Linked DNA regions of Coturnix japonica. The protein of the gene in region 1 binds, or shares a complex with, the protein of each later gene. Links are inferred from orthologs where the notes say so. Each region holds a gene or a part of one and is shown in the gene's direction. Other genes may lie near its edges.

Region 1 (3,643 bases):
CTCTCGTGCCTCAGTGTGGCCTGTATTTAATGGCTGTGGGGAGAATTATTGCCTTTATGTGATTTATCCTGCTCAGTTCCTAATGTGATGGGAGAGTGTGGTCTCAAAGGTGTTAAGTTCCTAGAGCGTTACTGGGAAAGTGTACCCTCATAAAGGTAACAGACCAAGAGTAAATGCCACTGCTGAGGAGAAAGTTGCTGTAAGAACTTGTATTTATTGGACATCAGGGAATTCATCTGTACTGCTGTACAGGATCCAAGTGAAAGCTTTGTTTGAAGCTTGCATAAGATGCAAATTTCAGGGCTTGTGGAAATGCCTGCTTTGAAGTGTTTCTGCAATTGCTCGTGTTTATATACACGTACACTTCCAAGAATTTATAATAAACTATGAACCTTTCTGTAGACCAGGACTCATTCAGTGTATAATATAGTGTTTTACTTTGTAATAACTTTTTACACCAAGTGGATTCAACCATGGCTGGAATGACTATTAGGGTGCTGTCTATTTTTATTTAAAGGTGGTTTCATGGGCATCTCTCTGGAAGAGAAGCTGAAAAACTATTAACAGAAAAAGGAAAACATGGAAGCTTTCTCGTGCGTGAGAGTCAAAGCCACCCTGGGGACTTTGTTCTTTCTGTCCGGACAGGAGATGATAAAGGAGAGAGTAATGATGGGAAATCTAAAGTGACACATGTCATGATTCACTGCCAGGTATGATGAAGCAGGAGCTAACAGTATTGCTTCTAAGGGGAGAGGGCTTATTCTTACAAGAGGGCCTTTCTGCACTGCACTAGAAACATGAATGTATTTCCACTTTTCCCTGTGGTACCAAATGTGTGATATACATCATCTGGTTGATCAAATGGACTAATTGGATGGCTTCAAAATTATTAGTGTTGTTTCTTGATTGCTTGCCAGACTGAATTGTGTCCTCCTATGCTGTGCTGTCAAGTGCCTTTTAATAGACTTGCTTTTGATTGCATCAGAAGTCTGTCTTAAAGCCTTTTGCTGATGGAGCTTTTAATGTTCATGAACCTTCTTAAGCGTGTTGCTGTCTCCTGTATGGATGATATAAAGACAGGACTAATTGGACAGACAGAGATCTATCCACATGTCTGTTGCTCCTGTCATTTCATAAAGTCTCATCTGAGAGCGATCAACATAGTGTAAACAAGCCTGAGTATTTGATCTAAAGAACACTTGAAATATAGAGTGGTCCATCATTTACATCTTTATATATTTAAGTTATAGTCTTCAGATATTTTTGTGCGTAACAATAGCTTGCTGTTCAATACTCAAATCTGCAACTTTTGTTTTAATTATGTAAAACTGTGATTGCTACAGTTGTACAAAAACTAAAATGCAGAAACAGTTTAGAGACAGAAAAGAGGATGTTGTCCTCCGTAATGTGTTTCTTGTTGTCTGCCATCTACCAGCAGAAGAGTTTTACTGGATTTTTTTTCTATGTGTAGTTTGAAAGAGAATTTCTCTTATGTTGTATAGCCTAAATATTGTATCAGTGCAGACTTGATTTGATGAAGTTTATTTTGCTGACTGACAATCTGTTCTTAAGGATCTAAAATATGATGTTGGTGGAGGGGAGAAGTTTGACTCTCTGACAGATCTAGTGGAGCATTATAAGAAGAACCCTATGGTAGAAACCTTGGGCACAGTATTGCAACTTAAGCAGGTGAGTGAATGGAGAAAACACCACTGGATTTTATTAATTTCAATGCATATTGTTGGGGAAGAGTGGGCTTGTCCTTGTGTTCTGAGTGACAACGTAACTTTCCTTTTGAAATATGACAGTGAAGAAGGAAACTTCATGAAAAACTGGTAAAGTCATGCAAGCCTAAATTGGAATAATTTATTGCTGCTGGTGAAGAACAGACTTTGTAATTGCGTGGAACTTCTTGTAAGTTCATTATGATCTATAGGGATTGCAAGACTAGCTCACAAATGAGACAAGTTATTAAGAACAACTGTGAAACTTTATCCAAAAGCATTTGTTCCGTACTTCCTTCCTCTCTTCCCTCACTGCCACTAGATGTATAAACAGTGAAGTCCTGGATCTTAGAATTGCCTACATTAGTGTCAGGAATTTGTGTTTTTTTAACTGTCTTTTCAGTTGTCACCGTTTTATTTTCTTTCCTAGCCCCTAAATACCACCCGTATTAACGCTGCAGAGATTGAAAGCAGAGTACGAGAGCTAAGCAAGCTAGCAGAGACTACAGATAAAGTCAAGCAGGGCTTCTGGGAAGAATTTGAGGTACTTCATTGTATTTCCCGTGTTATGGTATGGTATTGAATCTCTATGGTACTCAAAGAGGTTTGTTACTACCTTCCTCACAACAGCTTGGCTCTACTTCCATTACTTGAGATCCCAGCTTTTGCTTCCTTCTCCCGTGTCACGCACATAATGTGTTAAAACCTACCAGTTCCATTCCTGTGTTTGTTAATAAAATGATTCAAACATTTGCACTTTTTCCTAACTGAGGGGTAATTACTTTCCTTTAATTAAATTCTTTCCTTTATTTTTGTCTCTATGACTGCTGCATCCTCACAGTTTTCTTACAATTGGATTGACTTAAAAACTGCATGCACATATGATGATCATAGCCAAAATGGCTATGGCTTTGGTTGTGACTTCGTTATAATGGAGAGACTTGTATCACTCACTTCATAGTGAATTGTAGAACTCTACCAGCAGATGGCAACAGGAAACTGGGAAGTCTTATGATCCAAGATCTTTGATAAGGGGTCTGATTTTGGCTGTGCTATTTTGAGAATCTTGATAAGTGATGGATTTGCAAAGTGCCATTCTTGAAGAAACTCATTTATGGTCAGACATGCTTATTAGCTCTGCAGTCTGCACTGAGACTTCTAGTGGGAGTTGAAAAATAAAACCATTGAGTTTTACAAAGACATAACAAATTTCTGTATGAATTTGATGGAATGTAGGATAGTGAGATTGCAGCTGGTAGGGGTGGTAATTATAAACAGTGTATTGAATTTCCTCCTCTTTCTCATGTTATTATCTGGCCTTGAGCAAGAACTGCAGAGCTGTTCTTAGCCTGAACACTGCAGTTTTAATGCCATGTTTTCTCATTCATCTCAGGTAAGCCATGGTTGCCAGTCATGGTGGGAGGAGGCAGGGGGCAATCTCCAGGCTGTCTGTGGAGCTCTTCATGCCCTGTTGTGCTTTGGCAGTCCAGATGGTAGCTGTAAATTACTTGTCTTTAGGCAGATTGAAGAATGTGCCTCTTGTCCTGTTAAGTGTCAGACAGAAATGTTGACAGTCTTTGTAACACTTCTGGAAAGTGACTGGGGAGCTTTGTGTTTGAATGGCACAGAGAAAGTGAGGACTCCTGTACCAGATTTATTGTTGCATTGTGTACCTCTTGTAGCCAGCTTGCTAGAAGTCTTTGCTGCTCGTGGATCTTTCCTCAGGGATGCTCAAAGCAGTAACCATTAAATGTGTGAAGTAAAGGTGTTTGAAGCTTGTTTCAACACAATTATTTCCATGTTTTAACCTGCTAGCAAAGTTCAGCTTTTGGTTCTTTGCTTGGCGTTTCACTTTGCAGAGACTCAAAAGTGTTAATATTATATAAAGGCACTCTGTAATAATGGCAGTTAAAAGATTT
Region 2 (3,643 bases), on another chromosome or scaffold:
GTATGTATGCAGGCTGGCCCGTGGAGGCAAGGAATGGTGTGCTGTGCCTGTGGTCACCTTCATCTCATTGTCCCTCTGTCCACACTGACCTCCTTGAGGGACAAGTGGCCATGCAGTGGAAGGGCTGCCAACCACTTTCCTTTGGAGATATAGCCCTGAGGATCAGTGTGATTGTACTTGCATGCCAGCTACCAACAGACCAAGTTTCACACCTCAGATTCCATGACTCTGAGCTCCTCCCAAGCCCTGTGCAGCACAGCTGTGGTGTTACGTCACCCTCCTTTACTGGGATGACCGGCTGCAAACAGATAGCCTTGCTGTGCTAAACAAAGGGCAGTCCAGAGCAAAGCTGCAACTCTCGTTGGACATTCACATTGCCCCACATGCTATAAGCTCCCAAAGCCTCTTAAGAAGTGCTTGTTCAGTGGTAATTAAGCCAATGGAGTGGACCAGGCTGTGGGGGATTCCTAAGATCTGGCTTAGCCTAGGATAGTCAGTAACATAGTCTCTCAATGAAACATCATGCAGGGCAGGGATGAGAGACAGGGTGGGGATTGTATGAATGACATGCAGAGAAAAATTCTGGCTCTTTGCCTCCAGCCAGCCAGTGTGATCTCCAAGAGTTACAGTCAGTGCTATCCCATGGAGCATAGAAGGGGAGCTCCAAATTTACACAATCTTACTTTGCAATAGGGTAACATTACTGTTCTAACTGTTAGTGTCTGGCAAACATAAGGCCCTTTCCAGTGTGTCTGTTTCAGTAAGCAACAAAAATAAGGTAGTCCTTCTAGTGGCTTTGAGCTATATAGGTCTATAAAGGTGAAGGAGATGACTCCTGTCCCTGCAGCAAAAGAAATGGGCTAGTGCTGAAGCTGGGCTTCTTCTCTGTGCCATTTGGGGCTGCTCCCAATGACAGTGCCCTGCCTCCTGCAGTGTGTGCATCGTGACCTGGCTGCCAGGAACGTCCTCATCTGTGAGGGGAAGCTGGTGAAGATCTGTGACTTTGGTCTGGCAAGAGATATCATGAGGGATTCCAACTACATCTCCAAAGGCAGCGTGAGTACCCGGAGCCACATCATCCCCTTCTCTGTAGGGCTCTGGGCCTGGCACCGTGCTCCCCTGCAAGCCCCCTGTCTGTTGCTGTGCCCAGAGGTGGTGACACAGCAGCATTCCCAGCTGATGGTGTCAACCATCACCAGCCAACCATCGTGCACTTGATGTCTGCATGGTGCTGAGCCTGGTCCTCAGCTGCAGGCAGGAGGAATGCAAAGTTAGGCAGCTTGGCAGCGGTGCAGTGAGTCACTGGCCACTCTGGGAAGATGTCCGCAGCCTTCTGCTGTAACCAGCAGACCACAGGGTAAGAGGAAGTGCTTTCCTGCAGGCAGCTACTTTCCAGAAAGGCATCTCCAGTCTTTTGAGGCAAGAGAGGATGGGGCTGTTATTGAGCTTACCTGTGCTTTCAACAGGAGTGTGTCTGCTCCAGCACTGAGGAGCTGGGGATGCACAAGCCTAAGCAGAGCAGGATGTGTAACTGGCTTCATTTGGCAGATAGGAAAACTGAGTCTGAGGGAGCTGAGAGTGGTGCCAGGCCCCTCAAAACTGTCTTTATCTACTCGATGAACTACTCAGCTTCCCCCCTGATTTGTCCCATTTGCATGGCATGGCAGCCAGATGTTGAGCATATTGGCCAGGGGACCTCTCTGCAGAGAGACTGTGATTTTCCAGTCCAGCCTTGATATGGCTTCTTTTCCTTATGAAACAAGAAATGAAACTGGGCCTCTTTGCAGTTCTTCCTGGAGATTATTTTGGTATTTGTTATGCAAGCGGATCTCTGGAACAGCACAGTCAGTGCTGCACACACTGATTGAGTGAGGCTCATTTTAGTGTATCGCCATGTGAGTAGGAACAGGAAAAGCTGAAGCTTCTGCTCTTTCCTGGTTGTCCCGTAGCCCACTCCAGCTTAGCCTTAGGTTTCCAGAGCGCAGATAGTTCTGGACTCCCTCTGGGAGTTCTGTGGTCATGCTGTGCAATCAGTGAACTCATCCCAAGGGCTGGGGAACAGAGATGCACACTGTGACAGCTCATTATAGCAGACAGGCTGTTCTGTATGATAGAAATGGATGTAGCACACCCGTTCTTCCCTCCTGCTTGCTGGGTTTGTCCTGCAGTAAGAAAGAGAAAATGGATCCCTCCAAGAAGTGTTGGTCAGCAGATATTTGGGGCTGTCAGGCAGCTCCAAGAGCTCCTCTCTGCTTGCAGATGCAGCTAACTCTCTTCTCATTGCAATTTTTCCTCACAGACCTTCTTGCCCCTTAAGTGGATGGCCCCAGAGAGCATTTTCAACAACCTCTACACCACCCTAAGTGATGTGTGGTCCTTTGGGATTCTTCTCTGGGAAATATTCACTCTAGGTAAGTGTCCTGGAGATCACGGTTGTGTCCACAGAAATGGTGGCACTTTAGCAGGATCCTTTCCTAAATGCAGAGGGTAGAAATCCATCCTAATCCCCAAGTCCCAACTCTACCAGCATCAGAGTAGCACTTCACTCAGTGTCTCCTTTTTTCCCATGCTGACGTGGCCACTTGGAAGCCAAATGAAACAGGAAAGGTAAATTGAAAAACAAAAAGCAAGCAGAGGAAACCTTGGTGTGAAAAGCATGTTGGTGTGGGGGTGGCAGGCTCTACATCAGCCTGATTCCCTGCTCTCCCTTTACTCCAGGAGGGACTCCCTACCCTGAACTGCCTATGAATGAACAGTTCTACAATGCCATCAAACGTGGCTATCGGATGTCCAAACCTACCCATGCTTCTGATGAAATGTAAGTGCTGCCTGCACGTGTTAACCCTGGGCCTGCTCTGCAGAAAGGACAGGAGCAGTTTTCCCTGATAAGTCACCAACGTGCCCTTTCTTCCATTTTGTTAGCTACGAAATCATGCAGAAGTGCTGGGAGGAGAAGTTTGAGATCAGACCGTCCTTCTCACAGCTGGTGGTGCTGATGGGAAACCTCTTGGTGGATTGCTACAGAAAGGTATGTGCAAAGGGTCAGTGCTCTTTGAAGGGATGCCACCTTGGTTTTACGGCATTGGATGAAGTTTTGGAGGCCCTGATTAATCATCATTAGCTGCTGAGCTGGAGCATTTTGCTGTGATTTGAGCTACATTCATTTAAACGGCCAGAGGAGGTGATTTGGGAATGCTGGGGATGTTGTGAGACAGCTGTCCTCATCAGGCAGCTGGTTTGTCAGCAATGGCAGAGATCAGAACTGGCTGAAGATCAGACGCCTGTTGCTGACTGATGCTTTGGAACCATGGAATTGTGCTGCTGATCACTCATATAGGAAACATTCACGATGTGTCTGTGGTGGAGTCAGGGTAGCTGAATGCAGCTAGATGTCAGCCCCTGGGGAAGGAAGCTTGGCAGTCAGGGAAAGCAAACACATCTGTGTGTTTTCTCCGCTCACAAGACCTTCCTGTTTTTCTGGTAACCTGCGAGAGCAGAGGTACCAGCAGGTGGATGAAGAGTTCATGAAGAGCGACCACCCTGCTGTTGTTCGCACAAGACCCACCATCCCCGGGTTGAACAACGCCAGGCTCCCTCCCAGCTCCCCCACCCTGTACACGGCCGTGCACCAGAACGGGGGAGA
Region 3 (4,170 bases), on another chromosome or scaffold:
CATTAGCAGCTTAAACAGAAGAGTTATAGCAAAAGTTAGCGTGAAACTTAAACCTAGCACTACCACCTCAGTCCATTTCACCAGCTCCACGCATCACAGCGCTTCTTCTGTGCAATCTTCTGCCAATCCAACACAACGCACGTTGAACCAGCGAGCAGCAGCGCTTCCTGCAGCGAAGGCACACTAGGGGGACTAGCTCTCTGCGGTGGAACAACGCTGCTGCTCGCAGGCAGCGGGACCTTTCCCAAAGGGAAATCATACGGGAAAACAAACCGAAACAAACCAGCAGACCCGTATTTTTGTTTGTAGAAACTTATTTCTTTAGTTATTTTTGGCGGAGAGCATTATTAGCAAGGACTCGAATGAGTTTAGTCTTTTAAATGAACGGCATTGGGGATTGCCTTAACGCATCAGCCTTTTTACTTCCCCCGCTGCCCAAGGGGAGCCCAGTGCCCACAGCCGCACACACAGGTCGCAGAGCCGACATCGGCAGCAGCGTCTGGCGCTCACAGCCCAACTTCTACTTTTCTTTCTTTCTTCTCTTTTTTTTTTTCCGCCGAGGCAACTCCAGACTTGCAGAGAGGAGCTTACTTTGGCCGAGGTGTTTCTAATGCAGTTTTTTATAGCTTTCTCCTATTTTTCCCATCTCTAATGAGCCGTGTTGCGGGGCGTTTCGCAGCGCTGACAGCCGCTCCGGCCGCAGCTTTGTTATTCAGATGGCCGCTCGCTCACACAGCCGTCCTTCGCTGCCGGGAGCCGACGCGCTCCCCCACAGCCCAAACCATACCCAGAAGCGACTCGGATGGGCCGGGAAAGCCGAGCTGCGCTTCTTCCCCGTCTTTTTCCCCCCGTCCCGCCCCGCGCCGCCGCATTCCCCGCGGCCGCTCCCTCCCAGCGGCGCATCCGACTACAGCTCCCAGCAGCCTCTGGAAGCGCGTGTCCGCCCCGCCCGGCCCCCGTTGTGCGAGAGGCTCCGGCCGAGTTTCGGGGTGGCCGCCGCTCGGGACGCCCGCGGGGCCGGCGCTGGGCGCGGGCGGAGCGGGAAGGTGCTGGCACCGCTGGGGAGCGGGGGCCGCGAGGACCGGGACCGATCCCTCCGGGAGGAAGGAGACCCGACCCGCGGCGGAATAGGGGGGAGAGGCGGACGCTCCCGCCCCGCCGAAGGAGGCAGCGACGACGCGGTTCCCCCCCTCCTCCTTCTCCCGGCGCAGGGGGAGGAGGAAGGCAGCGTCCCGCCAGGCAGCGGGGCGAGGGGCGGGAGGGTCCCGCGGCGTGGGGCGGTGCCAGCGAGGCGGGGCGGCGGGCGGAGGCTGCCCCGGGACGCCGGAGCTCGAGTTGCGGCGGAGGGGCGGCGGCCGCCCGTGTCGGCTCTCCCGATGTGTGTGTGAGACGGCGGCTGCGGGAGGAGGAGGAGGAGGAAGGGGGAGCCTCCCGCCCCGGCCCCGCTCGCTCTCCGCTCCGGCCGCTCGTTGTGCGCGAGAGACAGACACACACAGCCCGCGCCCATCCCTCCTCCCTCCCGCCCCTTCCCTCGCCCCGCAGCCCCAGGAGGCCGGAGCGGGCGCGGTGCTGCCACCGCGTCTCGGAGCTCCCTCGGCCCGGCCCGGCCACCGCCGCCGGAGGAGGAGGAGGAGGAGAAGGAGGAGGACGAGGCGGGCGGCCCAGCCATGAGCGGCGGGGAGGTGGTCTGCTCGGGCTGGCTCCGAAAGTCACCGCCGGAGAAGAAGTTGAAGCGCTACGTGAGTGCCCCCTTCCCCTCGCGGCTCTCCCGTTCCCCCGGCCCGGCCTCCGTGTCGCGGTGCCTCCCGCCGGGCCCGGACGGTGCGCCCTCCGCCCGCCGGCGTCCCGCCGCTTTCCCGGCCCTGCTTTCCTTTTTTCTTCTTTCTTCTTTATTTATCTTTTCTTTTTTTCCTCGGGTGTTTCTGCCTCGCTTCGGTCGCTTTTCCGAGAGAGTCGGGAGCGGGAGGGGGGCGGAGTTTTTCCCCTCTTCCCTGTGGATCCGAGCTCCGTGTAGATGGATTTTAAACGTAAACACTCGCCGGCCGCCGCCGGTGCTGCTGGGGGGCCGGGGCGGCGCGGGGGGCGGCGGAAGGTCGCCCTCGGCCGGGGAGTGCCGCCGCCGGGATGCCCTGCACGGAGCCCTCCCCGCCGCCGGGAGCCTTTGCCCTTGGGACCGGAGCTCTATAGATCGGGAAGGGAGGGGGGGGGGGAGCGAAGGGGGAGGAGGCTGCACGAAGTGTGTGTGCCTTTTTCTTTTCCTATCTGCCCGTTGTCGCTCAGAAGTAAATGTTTTAGCGGGGCGGCTTCGGAGGAGCTGACATTTAGTTCGCTGGAAAATGGAGCGTGTCTGCTGAGAGGGCACATTCGGTGACAGGGCAGCGGCGAGGCCGGGGCACGGGGTGCTGCCGGGCCGCTGGCGGGTCACGTAGGAGGTGCGGGTGATGCCAGGAACCTCCGCGCCTGCCCCTTTCCCATTGGCACCGGCACAGCTCCACGGGATCTGTGTCATTGGAACGAAATGCTGGGGCTTTCTCTCTCTCTCCCTCTCTTTTTTTTAGTTATTTTTATTTTCCTCAGTCCTGTTGGATGGGATTGAAATAGAAGCGGCCTTTGCAACTGTCAGTATTTTCACACAGCTAAGCCTTGATTTGAGGATTCGTAGTGTGGAACTGAGCGTAACCACGCTGTTTTTCATCTGTTAGTGATTAACGATCGCTTCTTGAAAAAAGAGCTGTTGCTTTTGTGTAGAGGTTTGTGTTTTTTGTTTGTTTTTTTTACATTCCAGGGAATTGGTGAAATGGGACTCTGCAAGAACAGAGGAATAATCCATTCACCAGTTCCCAATGGCAGAAATCCTGTTCATGCAGAGGACGCGGGATCAGATCTGCAGACCGTGACCTGATGGGACATGGGAGGGTTGAGCTTCCCTGGTGGGTTGGACATGGGCTGCATTTTTGCCTGCTGCTCTGTGTGTGTACTCATACTCATAGGATGCCACTGTACCACTGTGTAGTGGTTGGGAAAACTTCATTTTGCTCAAGTTTGAGTTAATTTGAGCCCCAAATCATGTACAGTCTCATTAATTATGGAAGAAAGTGTAAGAAAGAATTTGCTGTCAAAAAATGACAACACAAGTGAGTTCCTAAAGACGTTAGCTTCTTTTCCATCTAACTGTCCTTCTGGTGTTTTTCTGCTTCCATATTAGAATAACATCAGAACCTTTGAGGGAAAGAACTGAGTACTCTTTGTCAAGTAGCAACCTGTCCTAAAGAAATAATTTGTTTTCACCTGAAAAAGGGATGTGCTTTTTGAGGATGCACTGTATGAGTTGAGTGAGCATATGCCAGGCTCACATCAGCAGGGCTTGATTTAGCATCTGGATGCACTGCAGGCCGTAAGGTCATAAGTTGCACATCGTGGCCAGCTGATTTCTGCTTGTACTCTCCTGTATGAGGGAAAGCAGGATTTGAAGTGAAATTCCTCTTGCTTGTCTGTGGTGCCTGATCAGCTGTGGGGCTAAAGGTTCACGTTCACTTTAAAGGCATAAAAGTAACAGCCATCTTTAAGCAAAGTAAAGGTCGACAAACGTGAGTGAATTTTAAGTGAGCGTGCTGATTGAGGCTTTGGCTCCTGCTCTCTGTAATTCTATGCTTGTGCTGGGACTCAGAAAAGCTGCATTTTTCAAAGCCATATTTTATCCTGGTGATGGTTCAAGAGGCTGTACCAGAAGAAAAGATGGGAAAGTGATTTCAATAGGAAACCGTTTCTCTGCAACGCATACTTTTCACATGTATATATGGAAAATTGTAACTTCACGCCCTATTAGTTTTAGCATGCAAGTGTTGGGGCAAATCCAGGTTACCATCTGTGAAGGAAGATAAAAAGTCTGAAATTTCAGTTAAATATGGCTCCAGTTCTTAGGAAGGGTGAAAGGAGCACTTTGAAGCTAGTGCACAGACATATGTTTTGCAGGGACTGCAATTTTTAGTTTGAAATAGTTGGATGCAGTATTAAAGCTTACAATCATTTGGAGGCTAAAAAAAGAAAGGAAACTATCCTGCAGGTGGAAAAATCAGATTTGCTCGGATGCGTGACTTAATGCCATGCATATCTTTCCCCCTCTTAAAAGGAGTCCTATTTTAATGTCCCATTCGTGAGTTCTGCGTACAG

Evidence for each region.
Region 2: the proteins of PTPN11 (region 1) and PDGFRB are in contact, whole or in part, in a crystal structure (PDB 1AYA), measured with the Mus musculus proteins. The link is inferred for Coturnix japonica from reciprocal best matches to the Homo sapiens genes PTPN11 and PDGFRB. Residues at the interface, in NP_001103462.1 of Mus musculus: Gly13, Val14, Glu17, Arg32, Pro33, Ser34, Lys35, Ser36, Thr42, Thr52, His53, Ile54, Lys55, Leu65, Gly68, Gln87, Leu88, Lys89, Glu90, Lys91, Gly93, Ile96; in NP_032835.2 of Mus musculus: Ser1005, Val1006, Leu1007, Tyr1008, Thr1009, Ala1010, Val1011, Gln1012, Pro1013.
Region 3: the proteins of PTPN11 (region 1) and GAB1 are in contact, whole or in part, in a crystal structure (PDB 4QSY), measured with the Homo sapiens proteins. The link is inferred for Coturnix japonica from reciprocal best matches to the Homo sapiens genes PTPN11 and GAB1. Residues at the interface, in NP_002825.3 of Homo sapiens: Gly13, Val14, Glu17, Arg32, Pro33, Ser34, Lys35, Ser36, Thr42, Arg47, Thr52, His53, Ile54, Lys55, Leu65, Gly67, Gly68, Tyr81, Gln87, Leu88, Lys89, Glu90, Lys91, Ile96; in NP_002030.2 of Homo sapiens: Lys623, Val625, Glu626, Tyr627, Leu628, Asp629, Leu630, Asp631, Leu632, Asp633.

Annotation. Positions count from the first base shown.
Region 1 is NC_029530.1:5,547,927-5,551,569, forward strand, and holds part of PTPN11 (tyrosine-protein phosphatase non-receptor type 11), read left to right. Parts: intron 1-517; coding exon 518-710; intron 711-1,572; coding exon 1,573-1,689; intron 1,690-2,154; coding exon 2,155-2,268; intron 2,269-3,643. UniProt on the Homo sapiens protein: Acts downstream of various receptor and cytoplasmic protein tyrosine kinases to participate in the signal transduction from the cell surface to the nucleus. Positively regulates MAPK signal transduction pathway. Dephosphorylates GAB1, ARHGAP35 and EGFR.
Region 2 is NC_029528.1:4,804,977-4,808,619, reverse strand, and holds part of PDGFRB (platelet-derived growth factor receptor beta), read left to right. Parts: intron 1-933; coding exon 934-1,056; intron 1,057-2,299; coding exon 2,300-2,411; intron 2,412-2,718; coding exon 2,719-2,818; intron 2,819-2,922; coding exon 2,923-3,028; intron 3,029-3,497; coding exon 3,498-3,643. UniProt on the Homo sapiens protein: Tyrosine-protein kinase that acts as a cell-surface receptor for homodimeric PDGFB and PDGFD and for heterodimers formed by PDGFA and PDGFB, and plays an essential role in the regulation of embryonic development, cell proliferation, survival, differentiation, chemotaxis and migration.
Region 3 is NC_029519.1:26,775,659-26,779,828, forward strand, and holds the start of GAB1 (GRB2-associated-binding protein 1), read left to right. Parts: upstream 1-1,349; 5' UTR 1,350-1,667; coding exon 1,668-1,739; intron 1,740-4,170. UniProt on the Homo sapiens protein: Adapter protein that plays a role in intracellular signaling cascades triggered by activated receptor-type kinases. Plays a role in FGFR1 signaling. Probably involved in signaling by the epidermal growth factor receptor (EGFR) and the insulin receptor (INSR).